Caenorhabditis elegans: one gene and its partners. Changing the gene in region 4 together with the main gene of any one other region gives a genetic interaction. Each region holds a gene or a part of one and is shown on either strand. Other genes may lie near its edges. The genes, in order: peb-1, lin-29, lin-25 and lin-45.

Region 1 (7,645 bases), on a different chromosome or scaffold from region 4:
ACTGCATCTACAAAGGTCGAATCAGGATTTGAAATTCGATGCACTTTACATTGCGTCAGAATTGACCCTTCCGATGACCCAATTCGGAAGAATTCGCAAAAAGTTTGTACCGTCAATTTGAATGGCAGCGACGCAATAGATTTGGGAAAATTGGCGCATCTAGGTTAACGAGTCGGGTGGTATGGCCCAGCCTGTCCCCGCGCGCGCTGCCGCGTGCCTGCCATCCATGGCTTGACCTTGGCAATGCGCGGATCTGTTTGCGAATTATTCGCGGTTCATCAACATGGGAGGGAGGAGGGGGGCAAAATTGCGGCACGCGCATGAGTGGCCGATGTTTCGAACCGTGCCACGCTCAGATTGTTTTATTTGACCTGACCAACATCGCAACTGACCTAGGCACTCGGCGGCGCCACCCAGCGCCGAAAGTAGCGCATCTCGTTGCACTTTTAACTTGTATACACAAACTATTTTTGACACACTCGAAAAGGGCCGACGATCTTTTTTTTCCATCTACTGGTGCCATGAAGTGAATTTTTAAGGGTTACGAAATAAAAAAAAGTTATCTTTTTTGCACGTACACACAATTCCCTTAGACACTCTCAAAAGCTAGAGGTTCCACATGACGTTATGAAATTCGAACTTGAAGGCGCCAAGCCTAGGAACCAATTGGAACAAAAAGAGTCAGCTGGCAAATTCAACCTTATGATATCGGTGCTCTGATCTGGCACTGCGCCAATTGCAAAGGGCACTAGCTCTTAACCTAGACAGTTGTGACTGTGTAATCTCGCCACGTACCTTGATAAATTCGATCTCAGCGACATGGTGTCTTGGAGGGTGATTGTGTGATCCTTTCGTGCATGCGTTTTTATTATCCATGGTTGTTTCAGCTCGGCATTTGCACCACTGCCCATCATGCATTTTCTTAGCGCAAACGCATCTCCAAGACTTGAAGTTACGTTCTGGAGCAATCTGAAAAAAAACAACTCGTGATGAAAGTCACCACTTGAATGATGGTCTATGATACCTGATAAATATTATATCGGTAGCCTTGATACATAAGTTTTTGATATCCTTTGAAAGATGTGACAATTTGTGGAATGTCTGGATTGTATCGGACAAATGAGATCTGAAAAAAAACTATTATTATCGGCCCAAAATCGCCAGTTAAGGCGGTGTTTCCCGGTGTCAGGTTGTTTTGAAATTCGTGTGGGAAGGAAGCCCTAAATTTTCCGTCTGAACAAACACCGGTCAACTATGCAAACGTTCTCTTTCAAAACTATGTTTGCCCTTCGGACAGTCCAAACAGTTATCTCAAAGTACTTACCTTTTTCTTTTCCTTGTCCGGTGATAGTGGCATACTGCTCACGCTAATCGGAGAAATGGCGGAAGTATCAGTGGAAGAAGACGAAATGTCTGATGATCCAGGCTTTTCAAGACCCAGCATTGTCTGAAAAGGAAAATTGATGTGTTAAATCAAATGAGCAAAAAAAAATAGCGATGGGAGCAATAGAATAATAATAACCAAATGACCTCTGATGAATTAGAAATTGAACTCAAACTAGACAGATGATGAAAAAGAGATATGACCAACGAAGAGAGATGTGACAAAAAAAACGAGCGGACCTGCTGTTGGATAGCGAGCGAGGTTCAGACACCTAGAATCAGACGATTTTTTCTCATCTATCTCTCCGCCCCAGGCACTATCAGTTGCTTGGGGCGGACAAATCAGCTGATGGGGCAGTCGAGAGAGGCGCGTGCCATTTGAACTGATAACCTATCGTGGCAGGCACCAACCGGCTGCCAACTAAGACACCGAATACTGTTATTTGGATGAGGTGCGCGAGAACGAGAGTGGCGAAGAGATAGAGGATGAGTGACCGGCAGGAGGCACAACTGACTGTACGGAAATTGGCGAGAAACATGCGTTGAAACGAGATTGACACATTCACTTTTTTTTTTGATTTTGGTAAATTTTGTTGAGGTGGTTGGTCGAAATTTCAAAAACAGACTAAAGAAGGGTTAAAAAGAATACAGAAGTATATGATTATCATTATTTAATTCGGAATTTCTAAAGAAGATAGAACAAAAAGTTGATAGCGGGGCAAAGCAAAATTCTCGGAAAAGAAATACAGTAACCAGTTTCGATGGCACACATTCCGCAACATGCGGCGACTTTTATCGAGTAATGGTGTTTTGACTTCGTTGACCCACAATTCCTTCCATCTATCTTCCGCCAGCCTGATCATAATACTTTTTTGACCGCTTTTCCATCCATGGAATACTGCGAGGAAGTGGCGCGAGAAAGTAAAGGCATGAGGTATAACGAGTACCGTTCCAAGTTTCACTTTTTGTTTTTGTGGCGGGCGAGGGGGTCATCGTCGAAGAGAAAGTTCGAGTAAAAGTGACCAAAAATGAAGCAAGTTTTGCAAATAGGCACCAGAAAGGGGGTCTCCAAAAAGTTATTATATCCGGGCCAATGGAAAGTGTGGGATGCCAGGACGATTACCGAAAAAAGGGCCGCGCCGTCGCCGCCCGCATGACCTAGCGCGGAAGACACGGATTGACACCGGATTGATGGATTCGGGAGAGAAAAAAAAAACCACAAAATTAGGTAATTGAGGGCGAAGATTTTGATAAGAAAGGCGGAAGCCAACGGCTTGACCCAATCGCGTGGCACTAGTCCGCATAACCTTGATGGAAACTATTACTGTTGCAACATCGGCAAAGTGCAAGGTCCTATTGGACATCGGCGCAAGACGGCGTCAGCACTTCTCGCGTACGATTCGCCATTTATGGCGGTCAGAATTCAAGTGTCTAGTAATCAGTGGCCGACAGAACAAACATTTTTCTTATCAGTATGTATATGCTTGGTTCAGCGAAAAATTGCATAATACCGATCCTGGAACGGTCGAGCACCACTGGACAACAAAAATATTTGTTTGGCATGCTTACATGCTGATAATACCTATTTCAAGATGATGGGAATTGTATAGAAGCCGAAGGTGAAAACATATCAAACGTTAAAATTAGGAAGGTAATCGTAACAAGACTAGTAGTAAGGTAGAAATACAGTAAGCGTGAATCTAGAGAATCGCAGTCTGAAGTTTCACACCTTCCGCTATCCATATTCTACTGGTAGTCTAAAATTCCGATGGCGGCGTCGGGTGGAAGTGAGAGGGGGGGGGGGGGGGCGGTTCAGTAAGGAACGGGGTCAGGCTGCCTGCCACGAAGAACCGCGAGGGAGAAGGCCTTTGCCTCCTCCATCTCCTCCTACTTCTACATCCACAACATCTTCTTCATTTCAATCGGCCGCCTCCCCCCTAAATGAACAGCCAACCCCGCCAAAACATCCGCGATCCGATGGTGTGAGGCACGCGCGCGCATACGCCGTGCCCTGAACCATTAGTAGTGGATGATGATGGTGATGAGGAACGAAAATGAAAGAAGCGTCTAACGAATGCAAAAAAGATCACAAGGGGCAAAGAGGTGAAAGGCGTGTGTACATAAAAACAACTCTCGAAATCCGCCTTGTCCGACATCCAAGTATGGTAACTGCGTCGGCAGCAGCAATTTGGCGCCAGTCGCCGATCCACTCTCACTTGGACGTTTTGCCCCCAATATGGAAGGTTTTTTCATCTAATTATTTGACCGGATGTCAATTTCTATGTCTATCACGAAACGTTTAAAGGCAGATTCGTCAATTTGAAAAGATCTGGAAAAAAAACATTGCTGGAGCAAAATTACAAGTCTGGAGTCGGCTTTTCGTTTCCAATTAGTCAAAAAACACACACATACACATACGCCACCATCTGGGGTTGTCAGGAAAGGTGATGGATGGACATCTCTATGGCAATCGGGAGAGGGCCTAGAACAAAGGGGTGCCAGTCTCGGATCGGTCAGATGAAATCGTTTCTCTCCTACAAATTTTTCGAAATTTTGCAATCGTCAATGATTAGTTCGATATCCAGAAAATTGGTATAGATGATATCACATATTTACTACGGGATCCATGAATGCCCTTCATTTTCACGTCGCGCCCCCCCCCCCCCCCCCCCCATTCTCGAAGAAGTCTTAGAAGCTGCAAAAGCTCGTAGTCAATCTTGTCCAGGATGAGTGAAAGGCGATTTTACTTTCTATAGCTGAACCTTGATTTGGAGAAAGTGAAGAAGGGGCAGCTAGGAGAAAAGAAGAAGAGTGGGCATTTACGCCAAGAAAAAAACTGAACACGCAAGACTGGTCACTTCATGAAACAACATCTAGCGCTTCTAAAAACTGAAGTGGTCTAGAAAATTAGGAGAAAAATTGTGAAATGGAACAATGAACGCGCCAAGGCAAAACGAGTAAAGTGCGTTACTGGTGCTCCACCCTTCCTGCCTCAGAGATTGACCCCCTGTTCGAAAATTCAAACATGAAATAGTGTAAAAGAGAAATGATACACAATTGATAGCTCTAGTACAGGGAACAAGGTTAGAAAGGTCATTAGTCAACTATGGAGTGCTTCCAGTTGCCACCACTGACAGTAGAAGTGTGGAAAGTATGTGTGCGAGAGCCCGGCGTGAGCCAAAATGGAAATGGGCGGTCCGAACGGTTTCGACAGTGGAGGAAGTGGGAGCCATCCGAGTTGTGACAACCACGGTGGCGGGTGCCCGGCCGGAAGGAAGCACACATCAAGAGTACAGTACGAAAGGCCTTTCCGCAAAGGGGGGGGGGGGCAAACGGCAAACAATGACCCTTCGGGGCGTGTATATATTGTGCTTCGCATCAGTTTGGCCACGTCTCGCGCAGTACAGAGAGTGGCACGTAACGCCACTGACCAGCCAAGTGCAAACTTGTAGACAGGCATCGCAGCGCCGAGGCACTCCTCCAACCTAGTACTATATTTGCAAATGTTGGTTCTCTCTGCCTTCATCTACTTAATCTTTCTCTCGAAACTGTTCCCTCGAAACCGCGCACTTTATATTACTGGGTGGTTTTAGATGTTGCCCTTTTCTTCCGCGTAAAGTCATAAAGAGGAAGACGTCAGAAACTATGAGCCACAGAACGAAAAATACTGCTAGTTTTATATCAAAACTTTTCGGAGAAGGCAAGCAAGCGTCGACGGTCAGAAAAAAAATATAACGACGAGGGCGAGCTGCAAGTATCACTAAAAGTGAAAACGATTGGCAAGCGGACAATAAACATGCGGTTACGCAACAAAACTTTCGCGCATTGGTCATGCCCCGGCGCCTAGCACTGTCCGGGCTCGTGTGCAAAGGTCGCTGACTCATCTGGCGCGGCCCATTGAAGTCGAGCAGGGGCAAAATGGTACTGTCAACTGATATGTTGGTTTTTTAATCAAAGAGCTGATTGGCAATGGTACAAGCCAGCACTACTTTCCGCCCGTAAAGGAGAAACATAGAGAGCTTTTTGGTTGCAAAATGTAGAATGTTAAAATTATACAAAAGATAAAAACGCATATGAATACTGATAATTAACTGAAACTGTGAACCATTGATAAGTAAATGTGTACCTATCAATTACAATTTACTCCAACATTTCCCCGATTAGAAAACTAAAATGTGAGAACACAACAAAAAAAACTACATTAATTTTAAAAACCGCTCGTCTCCAAAATTTCTTGACATCTCCCAGAAAATAAAAATGGAATGATAGATACCAAGTCAATTTAATTCATATTCCCCCCCGTAGCCATATTTGGCAGGCAGAAACAAACGACGACACGTCACTGAAACGAACGGGGTGAATAGGAGAACAAACCGAGAAACAGAGAAGCACACGAGAGGGGGGGGGGGGGGGGTTTATGGATCTCAAGAAAATGCATGATGTTAAAGTTTTGATCATCACATCGTATTCTGACAAATAGATAGAGGGTAACTCAGCACAAACCCCTTGGCTCACGCAAAGGACAAGAAAACAGTTGTGCAAACTCAAACCACCGACTGAAAACGCCTGTCGCTGAACAAATCTAACTGGTCACTCACCTGGTCAAGCCGCCAGCAATTTTTTTGAACTGTTGTTGTCATCATCAGCCCCAGTTTGGAATATCCAGAATGCTTCCTTTTCTCGGTGTTTACTCGTTTCGTTGCCCTGGAATAAAGTACACATTTATATTGATCATAACAGGGCACAAACTGAGCAGGGTGCCTTTCACGAAGAGCTTGAAATGACCTTTTAACACACACACATACACACATCATGGTACGAAATACATCTGGGAAAAGGGTGATGGTTGTAAGAATAAACTAATAAAATAATGAGCAATTGGAGTTGCACTATGTGTGTCAAACTGGAATTGGAAATTGGAAAAATCTCAGTTTTTGTTCGAGGCATAAACTCTAAAAATTTCCACTTTTTGACTGTCAGTAAAAAAAACATTTCAAACGATTTTTTTTGACTTTTTAAAAGTTTTAATACAAAATTTGATTATTTTGGTATCATATATGTAGCACTGCTCCACTTTTGAAAAATCGTTTTCTAATTGGTTACAGTGCTTTTCAGAAAATTATACAATGGTTTGCAACCTGTGGTGTGGTGTGTGTGTGTGTGGGTGTGTGAAAAAGGAATTAAATACAAGAAAGAGATGAGTTGGATGCAATAGATGGGTATATGGTGACGACGTCTTCGCCGGACGCAGATTGTTGTTGTTTGTGGCAGTTCCGCGCGGATCAAACAAATAGTATGTCAGCGTGTAGATGCGCAGGCAGATACAAAACGCGGCGTGCGGGCACTAAAGTTCGTGACCTGTGATGGGTCGCGGCAAATTCGGAATAGACCGGGGGGAATGAGGGAGAGGCGGAAAACCAAAAACGGCGAGACACAAACTAAGGCTCAAATAAATGACGAGTCGAGCGAAATACGTGATTAAACTTTTCCAATACAGTCTCAGCGTATTTTTTTTTCGGGCCAGCGCCACCCTCCACGCTCGTGAGACACTTCTATACTACTTTATGAATCCGGCAAACTTTTGGATGCGTGAGTGTGCCGCTCATCATACGCCCACATTTGTGAGATTGGAAAATAAAAGTGCAAAAAACCTGAAGTAATATGCCTTTTTCTTGGTTGCTTACATCAACTGGAAATCACATTTTAAAATTGATGAGTTCAGTGGGGTCCCTTGTGTAAATATCAATTACTAAAATATTGGCACTTTCAGTGATGTCTTCAAAAAGCAATGATTTGATTAACTTCTCGACCTAATGCGATATCTGAAAAAGTTCACAAGCAATTCTTATCTTGATTTAACTGATGGTCTATCCGTCTTTGTTGTCGCTTGTCAGTACCACTTGCCGTGCCGATTCGGTGCCGTCCAGTGTTTCGCATCCAATTGGCCAACGAAAGGTCATTCATCCGACTGAACTAAATTATGGCATGGCAGAATGACAGTGTTCAGGGGTAGAGTTTTTTGAAATTTGCAACTATCTGCATAGATCACATCAATTTATTTTCAAAGTGTGACTGTTCGGCCTGTGCATTATTTAAAAAATTTTCACATGTTCATCCAAAAATCTCCAGTGCAGTCCCAAAACCGATGGAAATCTAGAGAAAAAAACCCGGAGCAAGTGATTTGTATAATCGAGATATAATCTCAGTTGTCTGATTTTAAAAACTTTTCAAATTACAAAACTGTTTCTACTACACAAGGTTG
Region 2 (4,652 bases), on a different chromosome or scaffold from region 4:
TTGAGTGTTCTAGTTATTTTGTGAAGATTTGAAAAAATCCAGTTGAATTTATGTAAGAGACTCAATGTAAGCAAAAGCCTAAGCCTAAGCCTAACCATAAGCCTAAGCCTAAACCTAAGCCTAAGCCTAAGCCTAAGCTTAAGCCTAAGCCTACGCCTTAGCTTAAGCCTAAGCCCAAGCCCAAGCCCAAGCCTAAGCCTAAGCCTAAGCCTAAGCCTAAGAATAGGCCTAAGCAAAAAAACAAAAAAAAACAGAAAAATAATCCTCAAAATTCAAATCAAATTTGAAAAAAGGAACATTTAACAAAAATTGTCAATCAAACAGTTCAACATACAAAAATGAGAGAGACAGATCAGGGGAAAAGAGCACACACTCTTGCTCAAAAATCCTACATTTCTCACTCTCTTTTCATCTCCACAAATTTCGCGTTCCATTTCGTCCACTAGGTCAACAAGAAAAAACGTCGACGCACGCAAAAAAATGAGCTCATTTTTTAGTTTTAAACCATACTGGTTTTAAACACAAAAATACTGTTCACAATAATTTCAGCCTTTCAAAAATTTGATCTGTGTACCTACGTTCGCGGGCGCGCGAAAAAAGGACGAGATGGAGATTTTGGGCTCTTTCTCTCGAGAAAAAACAACAGTCTCTGTTTCTATTTGTTTCCTTCTCCTCCTCCTCCTTCTATCCCAAATACCATTTTTCCTGCAAAAAAAAGACGAAAAAAGAGAACAGACGGACATAAGAAGAGCACACACAAAAACGGTACGAGCTCTTGCTGCTGCGAAAGGGAGTTTTTGCGGGGCTGCTTACGATCGAAAAGTGCACATTTCTACAGAGACCATATTGAGACCGGATAAAAACAAATTAAATTTTTATGGAGAAAATTCACGGCGGAAAAGTCGAGGAAAAGCTTGAGCTTGATCACTTTTTGGTCTCGTTGAACTTTTCAAACTTTTTGTTTGCTTTTTAGAGCACAGATTTTTGAACGAAGCCTACTTGCTTTCAGAGATTTCCGGCAAAAAGGTGGAATACAGTCATTTTTAAATTTTGCTTAAATTGTTAGAACAAGAAAAAAAATTTTGTAAAAAATTCCAACAATTTCAAAATTTTTTATGATAAAAAAACGCCTAAATTGAATTTGAATTCCCGCGCAAACAAACCAAAATTTTTTCGTTTTCTGGAAAAATAGTTGTATCCTTTTTTTCTTTTGTAGCCGACTCAAAATATCTTTAAATTCAAAAAGCTAAGCCTAAGCCTTAGAATAAGCCTCAGCCTAAACCTAATACTAAGCCTAAGCCTCAGCCTGAGCCAAAGCCTAACCTTAAGCCTAAAACTAAGCCTAAGCCTAAGCCTAAGCATAAGCATGAGCCTAAAGTAAGCCTATCTATCATTTAAAGCAATATTTCAATTATTTTCAAAACTATATTCTGAACAAAAAACTCCAATAAAAAAGGTACCTGTCTGCCTGCCTCAAGCTTGCGTATCTATTGGGATGTACTTAAAAGCACCTTGCAAGGCAGGCACGTAAGAAGGCAAGCATGACGTTTTTAAAAAAATTATTTATTAAAATGCATTCATTAAAAAATTGAGTAATTTTTTCTCCGTGTTTAGGCAAAACAAAACTAATGAAATTAAAAATGTTTCAAAATTTCAAAATTGTTTTCTAGTTCGAAAAAAGTGCGGAACACTTCTACGAAAAAACACCCCCTGTCCCCTGTCCATAGCCCCCGAATGCATTTCTAACTAGATTTCAAAAATGTTTCTTTTTCACCCTCGTTTGAATGTGTTCCCTATGCAAACCTGTGGATATCTTCCAAATTGTGAAAACATATGATGTGGCAGGAGAGAATTCTGATGGAAGTTCAGTAGATCCGCTGAAAATTGAATTGAATTAGTTATGATTTGCCGAAAATCTGGATGGTCAGGTACATTGGGGGTACGTTTGAACTGGTACATAAAAATGGGAAAGACACGTGGTTTAGAGAAATGACACGATTTTTAAAATGTAGAAAATTACTTTCAAAGTCACCATCAAAAGTGAATGGAAATAAATCGGGGCTCCATGAGCAGTCTGCAGAAAATTTTTCATTTTTTAGGGTTAGGTTTAGGCTTAGACTCAGGCTTAGGCCCAGGCTTTAGTTTAGGCTTAGACTTAGACTTAGGCTTAGGCCTAGGCTTAGGCATAGGCTTAGGCTTAGGCTTAGGCTAAGGCTTATGCTCAAGCTTAGGCTAAGGAATATGCTTGAACTTTGGTTTAGGTTTAGGCTTATGCTTAGGCTTAGTCTTAGGGTCAGGCTTAGGCTTGGATTTGGGCCTAGGCTTACTAGGCTCACTCGGGAATATATTGACTTAGAAGTACGATAAAAGTTTATCTTCTTTTTGTACGGGTAGATGAAGTAATTGGCTACTAGAGTCTAAAATAATATCTTACCGACGACCTTCGGAAGACCTGGGCTCAGGTTCAGGCTTGGATTTGGACCTAGACATGGGATTTTTCTTAGGCTTTGTCTAAAGTTCAGTTCTTTGATTTAAGCATAGGCGCAGGCTCAATCTCAGTTTTAAGTTTTCTGCTATCAAAATTGATCGCATTTTCTATTCTTTGAAGATACAGAAATTGAATTTAAATGAAATTTTCGAAACAAAAGCTTTGATAAATCTACCTTGATTAAAATGCGGAAACGGGTTTGTCGATGAAGCAGCAGTTGCCGAGTCAATGGAGTGTTGCGACAAAGCCATATTCAAATTAGTGATCGAATGATGTGCTGGTGTGGATCCAGTTGATCCGGTCACATTGTCCGAGTTGGCACCGTCCGTTGAGTCAGTGCCGTCGGTTGACCGACTTGATGATCTCACTGAAACTTTAACTTTATTTTTTATGATCAGTTTCTTGAAATAATCAAATCCTCACAGTTTGTTCCAACACCAAAATGGGTGGTAGATCCGGAGCCAGTGGTGGTTCCAGCTATTCCAGAGTCCACTGGAGAGTTGAATGCCGAATCTAGAACAGTTTGATCCATTGCGTTGAAGAAGTTGGCTTGATCCTCGCGAAGCTGAAAGGAAAGTATATATTTCTTTATAGATTAAATGCCTAAAACATCTACTTGGATTAATTTTTATTCTCAACTTTGATTATAGCTTATATCTCAGTTGTGGTTTTCTTCGACTAAAAAATAGGCAACTAACAAAATATTCGTAAAATCTTTTTCTACCATTTCCTAGTTAATACAGTAACCCATCGGCTGTAAAATTAAATATTACCTGGCTCCAAAAATTTTGGGAAGACCCATAAAAATTACACGGCCACATTGCTAATAATCTACACTTTGAGAAAAAAAAATACTATAGGAAAAAGTTAATTAACAGAGGTGGGGCCTAAAAACTCATACTCATACCGTAATCGGAAAACACGGCAGGTGGTCTATGTTGATTTTTTTTTGTTTTTGCATAGACTTGGATTTCACAAGTCGAGGAACAACATACTGCACCTGCCCCGAAGTACGGCGGTGAAACTTGGAAAGTGTAGCATTATTGTACCTAACGAATACTTTAATCTAATGAAATTCAAGACAAGAAAAAAATCTCCTAAAACCATGTGACCCAAAGAAGAACTGAAAGATTTCTTATATGCCCTTTGTCTACTCCTTTCGATTCCCTTTTACTCGGTTCCGATTACACGTGCCCACCACCTGCCACGAAACGTTCGAATTCACTTTTTTTCCCGTTTCATTTTAGTCGGTCTCTCCATTTCGAGACACAACTCATAAATATGGAAAAGTGCACAGTGCACACAGCTGTGCAAGTTTTGAAATATGTACAGCAGATTTGAAGAGGGATTGGGGTGAAAGTTAGCGGGTTTTCGTGAAGCCGCCTAAGCAGTTTAGAATACTGTAAAAGGAGCAGGCGAAAAATAGCGTCAAGAATTTGGAAACCTCTTTTTGAGATGTCCTTATCAGGGCTGGGCGGAAATTGCCGGTTTGCCGATTTGCCGAAAATTTTAATTTCCGGCAATTTGCCGGTTGCCGGTTTGCCGGTTTGCCAAAAATTTTCGTTTCAGGCAATTTACCGTCTTGCCGATTTGCCGTAAATTTTGAATTTCGGCAAATTTCAGGTTTGCAGTTTGCCGAACATCTATTTGCCAGAAGTTTTTAGAGGGATTTTTAGTAAGACGGAAACATTGTGACTTTTTGAATTTTTTCCCGTTTTCTTTATATATTTGCATAGAATTTGCTTACTTTTCAGAATAGATGTAGGATGATCATAGGATGCGTATAAATTTGCCGATAAAAATTGAATTTCTGAAATTTTCAAAAAAAAATGTGTGTGCAAAACCACAATTTGCCGAAAATTTTCGGCAAATCGGCAATTTTCCGGTTGCTGATTTGCCGGGCCATTTCTATTCCGGCAATGCTCCGATTTGCCGGAAATAATCGTTTTTCTTTTTGTTAATAATTTCTCATTCTCTCCCCCCAACCTCTACCCCAAACTTCCCCAACTCTCCATACCTACCGTTATCACCAGCACTAGCATGTTTCAAGAAAGTCCCCAAATACATTTTCAGTAGATCGTAAAAACTATAAGGTTTTTACGAGTTGTGCCACCACGCTACCGTACTAGTAGTGATGAAACAACTGATAAAATGTAGAGAGACA
Region 3 (4,881 bases), on a different chromosome or scaffold from region 4:
ACAATTTCACTCTGAAATCAACATGAAAGTTTCATAGCTGTGTTCTTTTTCCAACTTTTGAAATATACTACTGTCTGAGCGGTTTTTAACTGAATCCGACGATATCAGAACGGGAAAATGAAATTTATGAAAATTTTCCAAACAAAACTATTTTGAAACCTTATTAGGCACTAATCAGTTATTGTAGAAAAATTCTCAATCTGTCGTTTTTGAAAACATTCCTGTCAACTTTGTGATTTGGCATAATAATAAGAAACTCGACAAGTAGGGCTCTATATACCCACATATCTTTTCGGACAGAGGGAATGCGAAAAATTAATCAATCGCAAACTTGTTAAGCTTAAGATAAGGAACACTTTTCCCGTGCAAACTATTTGAAAAAAAATCTGAATGGATCCAGATTCGAACCAGCAATGACTCTACTGAAGAGCGCGCGCTTTACCACTTCTCCAAACAGGCAAGTGGCGGCCGCGGTTCCAAGGAATATGTGAAACCAACCGAGCTGTACGAAGTAAGAAGCTTCCATTACTTTTTCAGATATTTAGTTCTGAAAACTTTGTCAACTCTCCTTATCAACAACTAAATGGTCCTTTTTGTAGTTATTTCTACTGGAAAAAAAGAGTGTGCCTGTAAATAATATCCTGCGTATAAACGTTGTTGTCCAGTGAAAACCTTCGCTTGACTTGAAATTTATCTTGAAAACTACTTTTTTTGAGTGTATTTTTAAACATTCTACAAATTCCACTTAATAGCAGCTCGGGAACTTCTGTGATTCATCGAATAAGCTATTTTCAAAAAAAAATTGGCCCAAAATTTGTTTCTGAAAAACGGCCCCAATCTTGTTTTTTTCCAGTAATAAATGCAATCTGAATTTTTTCGAAATTATTTTTCGCATGGAATGTCCTGTTTTTGGGTTTCAAACGCACTTTTTTGTCAATTTTGCTTTTTAAAAATATGAAGTGTCGTCGAATAAAATGCACGGTACGCAAAAGTACGCAAACACCGACATGTACCGTACTCCGGAATTTTTTCAATTTCGATCGAATTCGATTTGCCAATAACGAAAACGACGAAAACGTTACGTTTGAAGCCGGAAAATGGGATTTTGATACGAAAAATTATTTTAAAAAATAAACTTTTTATATACACTCTTGGAAAAATAAGAACTGTAGTGGTTTTTGAGAAAAAACATTTTAGGCCCAAAATTTAATTTCAAATGTTTCATTTCTGTATCTCGTATCAACATGCATGTACAATTTTCTAGAAATTTCAAGTCAAGGGAAGGTTTTCACTGGACAACAACGTTTATACGCAGGATATTATTTACAGGCACACTCTTTTTTGCCAGTAGAAATAACTACAAAAAGGACCATTTAGTTGTTGATAAGGAGAGTTGACAAAGTTTTCAGAACTAAATATCTGAAAAAGTAATGGAAGCTTCTTACTTCGTACAGCTCGGTTGGTTTCACATATTCCTTGGAACCGCGGCCGCCACTCGCCTGTTTGGAGAAGTGGTAAAGCGCGCGCTCTTCAGTAGAGTCATTGCTGGTTCGAATCTGGATCCATTCAGATTTTTTTTCAAATAGTTTGCACGGGAAAAGTGTTCCTTATCTTAAGCTTAACAAGTTTGCGATTGATTAATTTTTCGCATTCCCTCTGTCCGAAAAGATATGTGGGTATATAGAGCCCTACTTGTCGAGTTTCTTATTATTATGCCAAATCACAAAGTTGACAGGAATGTTTTCAAAAACGACAGATTGAGAATTTTTCTACAATAACTGATCAGTGCCTAATAAGGTTTCAAAATAGTTTTGTTTGGAAAATTTTCATAAATTTCATTTTCCCGTTCTGATATCGTCGGATTCAGTTAAAAACCGCTCAGACAGTAGTATATTTCAAAAGTTGGAAAAAGAACACAGCTATGAAACTTTCATGTTGATTTCAGAGTGAAATTGTAATTATACCTAAAATCTGCTACAAGGTAACTTTCAAATTCCAACTTTTGATATTCTTTTTTTCATTAGGTAGTAAAAAATCGTTAATCGTAGTAAAAGATACGAATCGTAGTAAAAAATCAAATTCGGAAACCGTAGTAAAAAAAACGGCCGTAGTAAAAGATACATTTCGTAGTAAAAAATCGAAATTGGAAAATGTAGTAAAAAATACGGCCGTAGTAAAAGAGTAAACCGTAGTAAAAGAGCAACGTAGTAAAAGATGAGGTAGTAAAAGAGCATTTGCCAATTTTGAACATATATTTTGGTAACCTTCAACATGTAAGCTTTTAACTTTAAACAACATTTATCGCTCGTTAAAAATACTAAAAATCTTACTTGTATCAGTTGCGCGAGGAAGAAAACAGTCGGCTTCATAATCGAAATAAGCTCATCTGCATGCAATTTATCAGAAAATGACTTGATTCTGAAATTAATAAACTTGGCAAAATTTTTCAATTAAAAATGCCAACTCACTGTACATAGTTGACCATTTCCCGGATCAATTCGCATTGCAAACATTTCGAATAAATTCTATCTGTTTTTGTATTTATCACACTGTGGATGACTTGATTCCAGGTGATTGACTGTAAATTTATAATTTTTTGGAATAAAACAAAGAACTACAGAGTACCTTATCTACGACAAGTTTGAGAAGATGGTCCCGGAAAACATCATCGATATATGTTCCATTATAAGCAAACCGAATCAAAATATCTGAATAAAATATATTAATACAATTACAAAAAAGAATTGCAACAAACCACAAAGCTGCTGAGTTGAGATACCGGGAAAGTCAACTGGACGAATGACTGATGATACTTTTTGTCGTTTTTCATTTGAGCAATTGCGGAGTTTGTCAATATATTCAATAACTATCTAAAAAAAAATTAAATACAAAATAAGTTTGTTGAAATTAAAATAAAAATTTATTTAAAAAAAAACTCACTTTTGTTGAACTATCAATTTTGATACTATTCATGATTTAATTGATTTAAATTTGAAGCATTTAAACTGTAACCAAAATATATTCAAACACCGACATTAACCCAATATTCGGTGCAATAGTATAAATGGATGTGAGACGTAGACACGCAATAGAGCGAGGTGGCCGAGTGTTTATTGTCCCCCACTACTTGGGGGACTAGGTACGATGCATTCCTCTTCCATTGTACATTTTCTGACATAGGAGGGATGTCTTCCTTCACTTCTCAGAGTCAATGAAAAATTGGGCGTGGACGGCATTTATTTTCAATGATTCTACACAATTTTCAGATGTAATAATCAAACTGCCACCCCAACAATCTCTTAAGACGATTTAATTCAGCTTCATTCACTTTTCATTTTCAAAAAAAAACTTTAAGCTTGTTTTAATTACTTGTTTATAAGTTACCATGGAAACATTACATTTTCTAAAATGTGCTTTGCACTCAAACTATAGTTTAAGTTTATATATAAACTTGGAAATAACAACTTTCAATATCTTGAGCATGTCTCAAATTATTTCATTCGTAATTTTCACTAGTGTTTTTATCAGACCCAAAGCCACTATTGTAAAAAAAAACTAGGCAAAACTTTCAGCCTTTCAAAGCTGGGTGCATCATTTTCTTCATCGGCCAAAAATCATGTTCTCGGCAGAGAGCAACTTAAGAAACAGGTGGAGGTTAAGTAAAACTTTGAGTGAAAATATATTTTTGAAGATAGATGAAAACTTGAAAATCGAAACACAAATACTCGAGGAACGTAAGAAGAAGGCTTTAAAGCTTCTTATCATAGGTACCTGATTAAAAAAAAAAACATAATCAAAATGTAACCTTTATTATATTTAGGTCCGGGAGAGTCAGGAAAAAGTACAATAGTCAAGCAAGTAAGGTAAATTCAATGAAAACTACATTTTTTCAGTTGCTTCCAAAAATTATCACCTACTCAGCTGATTTTCAAAATAATTAGATAATATATTATCGGTAGTTTGTAATATTGAAATTTTGAGAATTCTTCATTGTGGAGGATACAGTGTTGAAGAAAAAAGAGCTCTAAAACATGGAATTTATATAAATATCTTGGAAGGTATTGATGAGATACACTGGGCAATTATGTGGAGACAATTAATTTACGAAAATCCATCTTCAATTGTAAGTAATTACCGTATTTCCTCTATTAGTTTTGCACCCCTTTGCTCAACTTTGACAACTCATATCTCGTTTTGTTTTAAGCATATAAATAATTAACAAACTACAAACGTTAGAAAACATCTTGCAAAAATTTTATCAGTTGACAACTTTTTTATAAAACAAACGACTACTGAGATATGAGCTGTGAAAGTTGAGCAAAGGGGTGCAAAACTAATAGAGGAAATACGGTAAATGTTTCAAAACTAATTTCCATTATAGGAATGCCTAAATCAAATCCGAATATTTACGAAACAGTTCAATAAAACTGGAGAGACTGAAAATGTTTTGTGCAAAGACATTATAAAGTCTATCCAGATGTACATAAAAGATGAAACAGTTGCCATGATGTTGAGGAATAAAACTGTTTATAATATTGAAGACTCAACAATTCAGCAAGTTAAACGTTGGGTTTTATTCAGTCTAATTATTATTATTTCCAGTTTCATTGAAAACCTTGCAAGAGTTATTGGAAAAGAATACTTGCCAACCGGAGAAGATATATTGAAAACCAGAGTCCCAACCTTGGGAATTGCACAATATGAAGCAAATATAAAACATTTGACTTTCAAGTAACACTTTGTTCAGTTTGTTGTGGTTTTTGGAAGGAAACAATTATTTACAGATTCATTTTTTTCGACATTGGGGGACAACGTGCTCAACGTCGAAAAATTACCCATGTGTTGTGAGATGGGCTGGGCTATGCCACCATCTCTCAATTA
Region 4 (7,667 bases):
ATTCGTCCGACATCCTGTGGAATCCTCTGGAACAAAATTGTTTTGTTTTTTTTTCAAATTTTAAAATATTAATCTGAAATCCTACACTTTTTCTAGCCACTCAAAAGAAGAAACAGGAAGTCAGGCGAAAAATTATTTTATCTTCAACTTTTTTTGTTTGCAAAAATTAAATGATTCAAATAACCCGGTTCAGAAAAGGAATGGGGATGCTGCATTTTGAAATTAAAATAAATGGAAGTTTCAAAATGTGTTCGAAATGACAAAAACAAAACGGATAGGCATTGGATTCTATATAATTCTATACATACAGAGAATCTTTGGGATGTTTGGAAACGGAAATGGGGTGGGAACATTGAAAACTTATCAAAAGAAACGTTTTCAATAAAAAGCATTATAGTTGGAAAAGAAAAAGTTCTACCGGTTTAGCCGAAACAAAAATATGAAAATTATCACAATTTCACATGGGGGAACGATTGCAGGCGGACTTAGACTGGAAAGAAAGTATTTTGGTGGGATTTTTAAGTTTTGGAGGAAACGGTGAATACGGGGTTAAAATAATAATAATAATATCGGGATGGGTGATGAGGGGGTGAATAATAGAACAGGATTCAATGTGACGAGAAATGATTAGTAAAATAACGATGGGCGAGATTATTCTTCGACTGGAAGTTTTTTGGTTAGTGTACACATGGGGTAGGGAAAATCACTGGGAAGAATAGAAAAAAGAGAGAAAATAAAGGTACATATTCGGGGAGAGACGAGAAAATCAACTAAAAAGTTGCAGTGTCCCTTGATTTTCAAAAAAAAAAACAAAATAAAACTAAATGAGACCATAGACATTGTAGTATGCCTTCTTGTTAGCAGCGGCCGCTGCTGCTGCTGATTGTGGGGTTTTTGCAGTTGCAGGTGGAATATATGACCAGGAAAGCATTTGGCTTCTCATTACAGCATCCATCACCGAATATTGCGAGTCTAAGTGAAGAACATTCGGAGCTGATTGAGAACGAGTCAATTTTGGAAGAATTATGTCGCGAAGTCGTTCGAGAACCTGAAAAATTGGAATTCATTCATTAAAATTTATTTAAAAATCAAACTACAATATTTTTTTGGATTTTTCAGTGTAGTGGAGTTATTCATGAGCGAAAAAAATGTTTTTAAAAAATACATCGATTTCTTAAAAGCATGTTTTTATCCATTTTTCGACAGCGTCAAAGAGTGAAAAATCAAAGGAAGCCACCATATTTAGACAAAACTGCCAATTTTAAATGTGAAAAAAAAGAGCGAAAATGTGTGAAGTACTGGAAGAAAATAAATTCCGAATTGTCCTCGCGGTGTACACGGGGAGAACGCCCAGCTCGTAAATTTACACAACTTTTGAAGAGACATAGTCATATGAAAACGTATGGTCTCGCCGCATGGCGGCTTACTGTAGTTTTTCGCTCGTCGACGCTGTCGAAACATGTACAAAGTACAAAAAATCGATTTTTTAAAAGTTTTTTGACACTCATGAATAACCCCATAATAAATCATAGTTCTACCAAATTTCTAAAGTCGGTATTTCCCACTCACCTCTCCAAATACTGGCCGCTCATTTCTATCGAACATAATGCAATTGTCATATAATTTGAGCATGCTCTTCGGCGTATCATGTCGAATTTTCGATCTATCCGGCCTCAAATACCCTCTTCCAACCATAAACAATATCTGATCTCGATTATTAATGTTGGAGTATGGTAGATGCGAAGATAGAATTTCGTACATGCATATTCCAAAAGAATACACATCAGACTGTGGGGTATATGGATTATCATCTTGCATTCTGATGACTTCAGGTGCCATCCAGAGAATACTTCCTGTTGGTTGTTGTTGCTGTTGACCTCCGTTCACTGTCCATTTCGTTTTGACAGTTGCCAAGCCGAAATCTCCAATTTTTACCGTTGACATGTCATCCATAAGGAATATATTGTTCGTTTTCAAGTCACTGAAATGTTTTAAACATTTAAACATAAATTATAGATATGGTCAGTTACCGATGAATAATATTTTTTGAATGTAAATAATTCATTCCAAGAGACACTTGCTTCAGTATATCAATGATAGCACCCATTTCAAATTCGACGCGTGGCTCTGAAAATTATTAAATTATAAGAATTAAAATCTCAGTTCAGATCACCTTGAACATGAATATGTCTATACAAACTCGATCCTTCACACCATTGAGTAATAATTGCAATTTCTGGTTCTCGAACCCATCCCATAAACAGCAAAACATTCAAATGACGTGTTTTCTTTAAAACTGCAACTTCATTTTTAAAGGCTGCCATTTGAGAAGGCGTCGGATCAACAACATTCAGCTTTTTTATAGCAACAGTTCCGAAGAATTCTCCACGATAGACGGTACCGAAGGATCCCGAACCAACTTTGTATTGAATCTAAAAGAATGCTTGTTTTAATAGTTTTGACAGAAGTTTTGAGCGTTTTTTTATTGCTTCAACTGTAAAAAAAAAAGCTATTTTCAGATAAATAAAATGTTTTTTTTCTATATTCGATCACTGAATTTAAATGAAAAAAATTAGGATAACATGCTCCTTTTGTAGAACTGCCGGTTTGCAAAAGCCGTGCACCCTTGCTGATGTAGAATAAACTTACAATAAATTCATTCGGCAATATTTCCCAATCCTCATGATGTGGTTTCTGTGGCGGCCTGGGTCGTTGTGCATCAAGTCGTTCGCCTGGCGATCGACTACGATTTCGGAAGAAACCAGGTGAAATCTAAACATTTTTAATTGAAGAAAAATAGATTTTTTTGAATTCTACCTTCTGAGGAGGTGCTGATTGTGGTGGTGTTAATGGGAGAGTATGCAAATGAGCGGCTACTAATGATGACGTCGTTGATCCTGATACATTCGGGGATTGTCCAAGAGTAGGTTGTCCGATTAAGCCACCTGGAGGTGATGAACATGTAGATGAAGGAGAATTCGAGCCAAGAGGAGTACAGTCAACAAGTGGGTGAAGACGATTCATTCGAGCTCCTGAATAATTGAGAATAAGTGAAATTAAAATAATTAGAGTCGTTTGGGAAATTCTTGAAGGTGGAATAGAGTAAAAATTGTTTTTATAACTTTAGAAAAACGTCTTAAATTTGGAATTTTGTTTTTCTTCCCTGACCTTTTGACGAATCGTTATGTTTTCTGTTTTCGATTACCTGACAAAATATGTCCACTCTGGAAATGAGGTCGATGACGTGCTTGTGTTGAAAGTAACGATCCAGTTTTATCTCGTGATTCTTCTTCTAATCGCTGAGCTTCCAATGCATCAAGAATTCTTTGCTGAAAATAATACATTTTAGACTTTTTCTTTTAAAATTGGTGACTATTACATTATGTTGAACTGTTGCCTCATCATTAATCGCATTGATATTCGGAGCAGAAGAGCTCCGATCCCGTGGATAAGGTCCGGATGGAGATAATTGAGATGTTTCATTCTGTGGAGAAACAGCCATTGGATGTCTTTTGACACCACCCGTTCGTTTAATACTCGTCAAATCTGGATGAGAACTGTCTGGTGTGGCAGCTGGACTTTGTCCACTCGTTGGAGCTAGATTAGCAAGAACTATTTCGGCAACTGATCTATCTGGGCCTTCGACTTGTGATGCGATCCCAAAGAGTTCTTTCACTAGCTGAAAATTAAATGTTTTAGATAAGAATTGTTTCTGAAGCAGAGGTGAGCAATTACGCCATGTTGTTCCAACATTTTTCATTAAAAATCAGTGTAAAAAATATATAGAACCACCTTAATTATCTAATGATAACTTTTAATTATGTTTAAACATCTATGAAAATGCACAAAAATGACCTAGAAGTTGCGAATTGCCTATGGCAAATGGCCATTATTGTGCATTTTCACAGATCTTTAAACATAATTAAAAGTTGTCATTAGATAAATAATGTGGTTTTCTATATTTCGACGTTAATGACAAATGTTGGGACAACATTGGTAATTTTGTAATATTGCCGCCCGCCTTTGTTCTGAACGCACATCTTCATTTTTCGGTACAGATTGTAACAAATCGCAATAAAGTGGTGCAAACGATGAGCATCTTTGATGAAATTTGAATTGACAAAATTCACATCGAAATCCCATCATCCAGATAGGATTATTGCATACATCACATGATTTCGGTGGAATAAACGTTCTTCGAACAATTGCATGTTTAATCGATGAGACTGTATTCAGATATTCTGAATGAACCCATAATTCATTTCCAGGCAGTCGGGATGCGATCTCTTCCATTGTCAGCTGAAAATATTCAAAAATAAGAATTATGCTGTTAGATTCCAGTAAATCACACCGATAATTCAATAGATTCTTGTTTTGGGTCAGATGACGCGTTCACGTGACATAATTGAGGTGTGATATTCCGTTTTTTGAGCAATTTCGAAATGGCATCCCGCGCGGTTTCACCGGGACGAACCTGAACAAAATGTGCTTATTTTCTTCGTTTCACAGTGAATTTTTTGCTTACTTCAACCCTAGAATGTTGATCAAATGGCAAATGAACCATAATCATTTTGTATTTGAATTTTGGCGGTTCCTTGTCACTTGTTCCTGCTCCTCCAGCGGAATGATGTCCAGATAACGAATGAAGACTATCACTGTGCTTTGGATAAAGAGGAGTTGAAGGACTTGCCATCGGCGAAGCTTGATCCTGAAAATAATTATGAGTTACATATAAATATTTAATTGATAATCTTTGGAATGAGAAGTGGACGCTTGATTCTGAATTGAATAGATTAACACGATTCCCCACAAGTAACATGTAATTAGTGTTAAAAAATTCAAGACAAAGGATTCGTTGCTAATTTTCTACCTTCCGATCAATAGATGAAGAAGCACATCTCGGCAGACTTATAAGCCGCGGAGATGGGCAATGTGGGCTCGTCGGGGTGGTCGACGCCGATGACTTTTTGAAATTAATCCGACTCATTCGGCGGCGTGTCGACGATGATGATGGCGTTTGAGATGATGTGACAGGTGACTTCTAAATTGCTGTTAGTGATTACATGTAATTAAAAAACAAAAGGACAATTTGGACGAGTAAAACATTAAACACGGACTTTTAAAGGACATTTGAGAAATCAGAACAAGCAATAAGTAAATTACTTTTCAGATGCTCTATTTTATTATTGTGAAGCACTTTTTAAAACAATCTGAACAAATAAATGTTTCCCTTTAGCATTTTTCACTTTCATTTTATTTGTGGAAAACGTTCGAAAACACACCGTTTCGCGAGAGCATTCCATGTGAAAATTGCAGTTAATTCCAAAATAAAATAAACCAGAAAATCAATATATTCGCAGATAGAAGGTCAACAAAAGAAAGAGAGCGGCGGTAAGGGGCGCAAAGATGATTTTTTTCTTTTCCGAGAAGAGTACACGGAGGGAGTTAGTCCGCGGGCCGAACACACTTTTCTCTTCCATTTTCGCGCAGAAGATTTTAACCCAGATTTTGCAGGGTTTATTAGAATTTTCAAATAATAAGGACAGCGTTGCGCTCGGTTATATGAATTTATGTAGATGGAGTGAAGCTTTAAATAAATCTATTATTAATGGAAATATGGAATACGTTTATTTTCATTAGTTGATAAATTAACTTTTCAAATCTACAGTAACTCGATAGCTGAAAAGAAAAGTTAAAACTTGTATTGAAAAAGATGTTACGAATGAAACGTGGGATTCCCATGTTCAAAAAAGGAATCACGAATGTTCAATTTGCTGGCCAATTAAACAATTGTGTTCGCAAAGTTTTAAATGCAATCGTGTATTTTCTCAATACAGAAGCCCCGCGGGTTGCTTCATAAAGTCATTTGATTATTCAAATATCACTATGATTTCACAGAGTGTACCCTATTGATTTAAATCAGTTTTCAACTTACTGGTGCCGATTTCCGACGATTCCAGCCTCCATGAAAGTGACAAACTGAATACAGTACAGCCATTGCAGACATTTTAAAATGTTATGTGATCAATTATGGAATATAATTATCTCCAGATAACTTTAGAAGAATTTCAGAAAGTAAAAATATATTGTTAACAGGGGCCCCTTTGGATCCAATGGTTCTCTTCACACACAAAAAAAGAGAGGCGGGGTTTGTTTTCGCCATCTATTTTTTCTCACTGGTTTCTGTGCTCTGATCGAGAGAGATAGAAAAAGAGAGCAAAGAAAAAGAAACGTGTAAATCGGGAGCGACACGTGCCACGAATAGGTTGACAATGTTTTCAGCGTTGGGTCTTAACACGAAACAGATGACCTTAGTTTGTGAAGAGAGCAGCAAGTTGATTTGAAGAAACAAGGTCATACGTGACAAAACACAAACTAGAAAAGAATATATTCGAAAAAAACCACTAATCAAATTATAAAAGAAGGAACTAGATGACATTTGGTTAATAAGCTACTTCTAGTTAGTACACCCCGAATTAGCTGTGAAAGTTGAAAAAACGGGAAAAGTTTATCTGAAACTGACAGACTAGACAAATGTCTGTGACATATTGCAACTAAGATTTTGCAGAATGTGGACATTTTTGAGAAAAAAGGGATTACATGACTCAACTGATTACCTTTACGTTATGGTAATTTTCAAATTTTCTGAAAAGTGAACTGATCTGTTAAGATTGGTCTTGCCACGAAAAAATAGTTCATTCTAGGATTTAGAAAAATTTGGTATCATTTGCTTCCTTGGAATCAACTTAACTTAAGTATTACTTATCAACTTATTATCTTAACATTTGTCAACTTTACCACTTTTAAACAGTTATTTTGAAACTAAATTTTCGAAAGTTGGAAAGCAGAATAAAAGCAGCTGGCATCACGGAGATTAAAACATATGTCTTAATGTGTTTTCTCGCGACGAGACCCATCTGAGTTGATACATGTTTTGAGGAATAAGCGTGAGTCTAAAAATCTATTTTGAAAAATCTATGAAAAAAATCCAAATTCTACGAATAAAAATCAATGGGATCGCGCATCAAATGTGTTTTGTTCGTTCCGCCTCTTCATTCCACTCTATTCTCATCTTTTTCCGCCAATTTCCACTTGAAAAGTGCGAACAATTCCTCAAAAAAGAAACAAAATACACTATATTCCACATCAAAGAGGTCATTTTTCTATCAAATATTTGTTTTGGTTTATCAAAAAGATTGAGGTTCTAAAGATTATTATTAAAAGTTTTAAATAAACAAACTACGAAAGCATTATTTTGATCTAATGTTGACTATACAAAACTTTTTCAAATTTCTTTGATCACTAGAATTTCAAAAAAAAACCTATTTCAGTATAATTGTAGTTCGCAAAATAACAATTATTTTCATTTTAATGTGAGATATCGTAGTTCTTAATATAGATTTTCAACAGAAATTCAGAAATTTGGCTTCATCGAAATTAACTTTGAATCGTACATTGGGACGTCCTGTCTTCAGAAATTTTCAGCCGACATGCTCAAACGAGCTCCAAAAAAGTTTAAAAGTATCTATTGCAAGGTTTTCGCCAGCTTTAGAAATTAACACCAAATCTACCTCTACAGTTAAAAGTTTAAGAGCATTGGACATTTCAAATTGAACGCTATTCAAAGATTATAATCAAAGATTATAATCGAAAAATCGATTTTTCGA

What was found.
Region 1: of lin-45 (region 4) and peb-1, changing one enhances a phenotype caused by changing the other (phenotypic enhancement), as found in Caenorhabditis elegans (one large-scale study listed by BioGRID).
Region 2: of lin-45 (region 4) and lin-29, changing one enhances a phenotype caused by changing the other (phenotypic enhancement), as found in Caenorhabditis elegans (one large-scale study listed by BioGRID).
Region 3: of lin-45 (region 4) and lin-25, changing one enhances a phenotype caused by changing the other (phenotypic enhancement), as found in Caenorhabditis elegans (one large-scale study listed by BioGRID).

Annotation. Positions count from the first base shown.
Region 1 is NC_003284.9:2,209,432-2,217,076, reverse strand, and holds the start of peb-1 (FLYWCH-type zinc finger-containing protein peb-1), read right to left. Parts: upstream 6,027-7,645; coding exon 5,982-6,026; intron 4,836-5,981; exon of another isoform or gene 4,545-4,835; intron 3,620-4,544; exon of another isoform or gene 3,497-3,619; intron 3,442-3,496; exon of another isoform or gene 3,060-3,441; intron 2,843-3,059; exon of another isoform or gene 2,495-2,842; intron 2,272-2,494; exon of another isoform or gene 2,086-2,271; intron 1,848-2,085; exon of another isoform or gene 1,631-1,847; intron 1,448-1,630; coding exon 1,325-1,447; intron 1,258-1,324; exon of another isoform or gene 1,136-1,257; intron 1,127-1,135; coding exon 1,025-1,126; intron 970-1,024; coding exon 796-969; intron 439-795; exon of another isoform or gene 176-438; intron 1-175. UniProt on the Caenorhabditis elegans protein: Putative transcription factor. Binds to specific sequence motif 5'-[TC][AGT]TGCC[GA][AT]-3' in regulatory elements of target genes such as myosin myo-2. May modulate gene expression, perhaps acting in opposition to transcription factor pha-4.
Region 2 is NC_003280.10:11,930,205-11,934,856, forward strand, and holds the start of lin-29 (C2H2-type domain-containing protein), read right to left. Parts: upstream 3,021-4,652; coding exon 2,912-3,020; intron 2,862-2,911; coding exon 2,664-2,861; intron 1,878-2,663; coding exon 1,804-1,877; intron 1-1,803. UniProt on the Caenorhabditis elegans protein: Transcription factor which regulates the expression of various genes, including those involved in cuticle synthesis and maintenance, such as collagens, and in lipid metabolism.
Region 3 is NC_003283.11:12,648,049-12,652,929, reverse strand, and holds the start of lin-25 (Protein lin-25), read right to left. Parts: upstream 3,006-4,881; 5' UTR 2,974-3,005; coding exon 2,941-2,973; intron 2,871-2,940; coding exon 2,756-2,870; intron 2,709-2,755; coding exon 2,626-2,708; intron 2,579-2,625; coding exon 2,469-2,578; intron 2,419-2,468; coding exon 2,331-2,418; intron 1-2,330. UniProt on the Caenorhabditis elegans protein: Participates in the inductive signaling pathway downstream of let-60 Ras and the RAF/MAP kinase cascade to regulate specification and differentiation of many cell types. Positively regulates the fate of vulval precursor cells.
Region 4 is NC_003282.8:6,742,418-6,750,084, forward strand, and holds lin-45 (Raf homolog serine/threonine-protein kinase), read right to left. Parts: upstream 6,008-7,667; coding exon 5,936-6,007; intron 5,398-5,935; exon of another isoform or gene 5,304-5,397; coding exon of another isoform or gene 5,283-5,303; intron 5,042-5,282; coding exon 4,871-5,041; intron 4,709-4,870; coding exon 4,526-4,708; intron 4,475-4,525; coding exon 4,352-4,474; intron 4,300-4,351; coding exon 4,039-4,299; intron 3,680-4,038; coding exon 3,380-3,679; intron 3,330-3,379; coding exon 3,206-3,329; intron 3,033-3,205; coding exon 2,818-3,032; intron 2,773-2,817; coding exon 2,650-2,772; intron 2,433-2,649; coding exon 2,174-2,432; intron 2,128-2,173; coding exon 2,031-2,127; intron 1,982-2,030; coding exon 1,570-1,981; intron 1,049-1,569; coding exon 821-1,048; 3' UTR 121-820; downstream 1-120. Other genes in the region: smg-7 (DNA/RNA-binding domain-containing protein), read right to left, coding at 1-13. UniProt on the Caenorhabditis elegans protein: Protein kinase that participates in the induction of vulva and has roles in fertility and viability. Acts downstream of the Ras protein let-60. Required for progression of developing oocytes through the pachytene stage.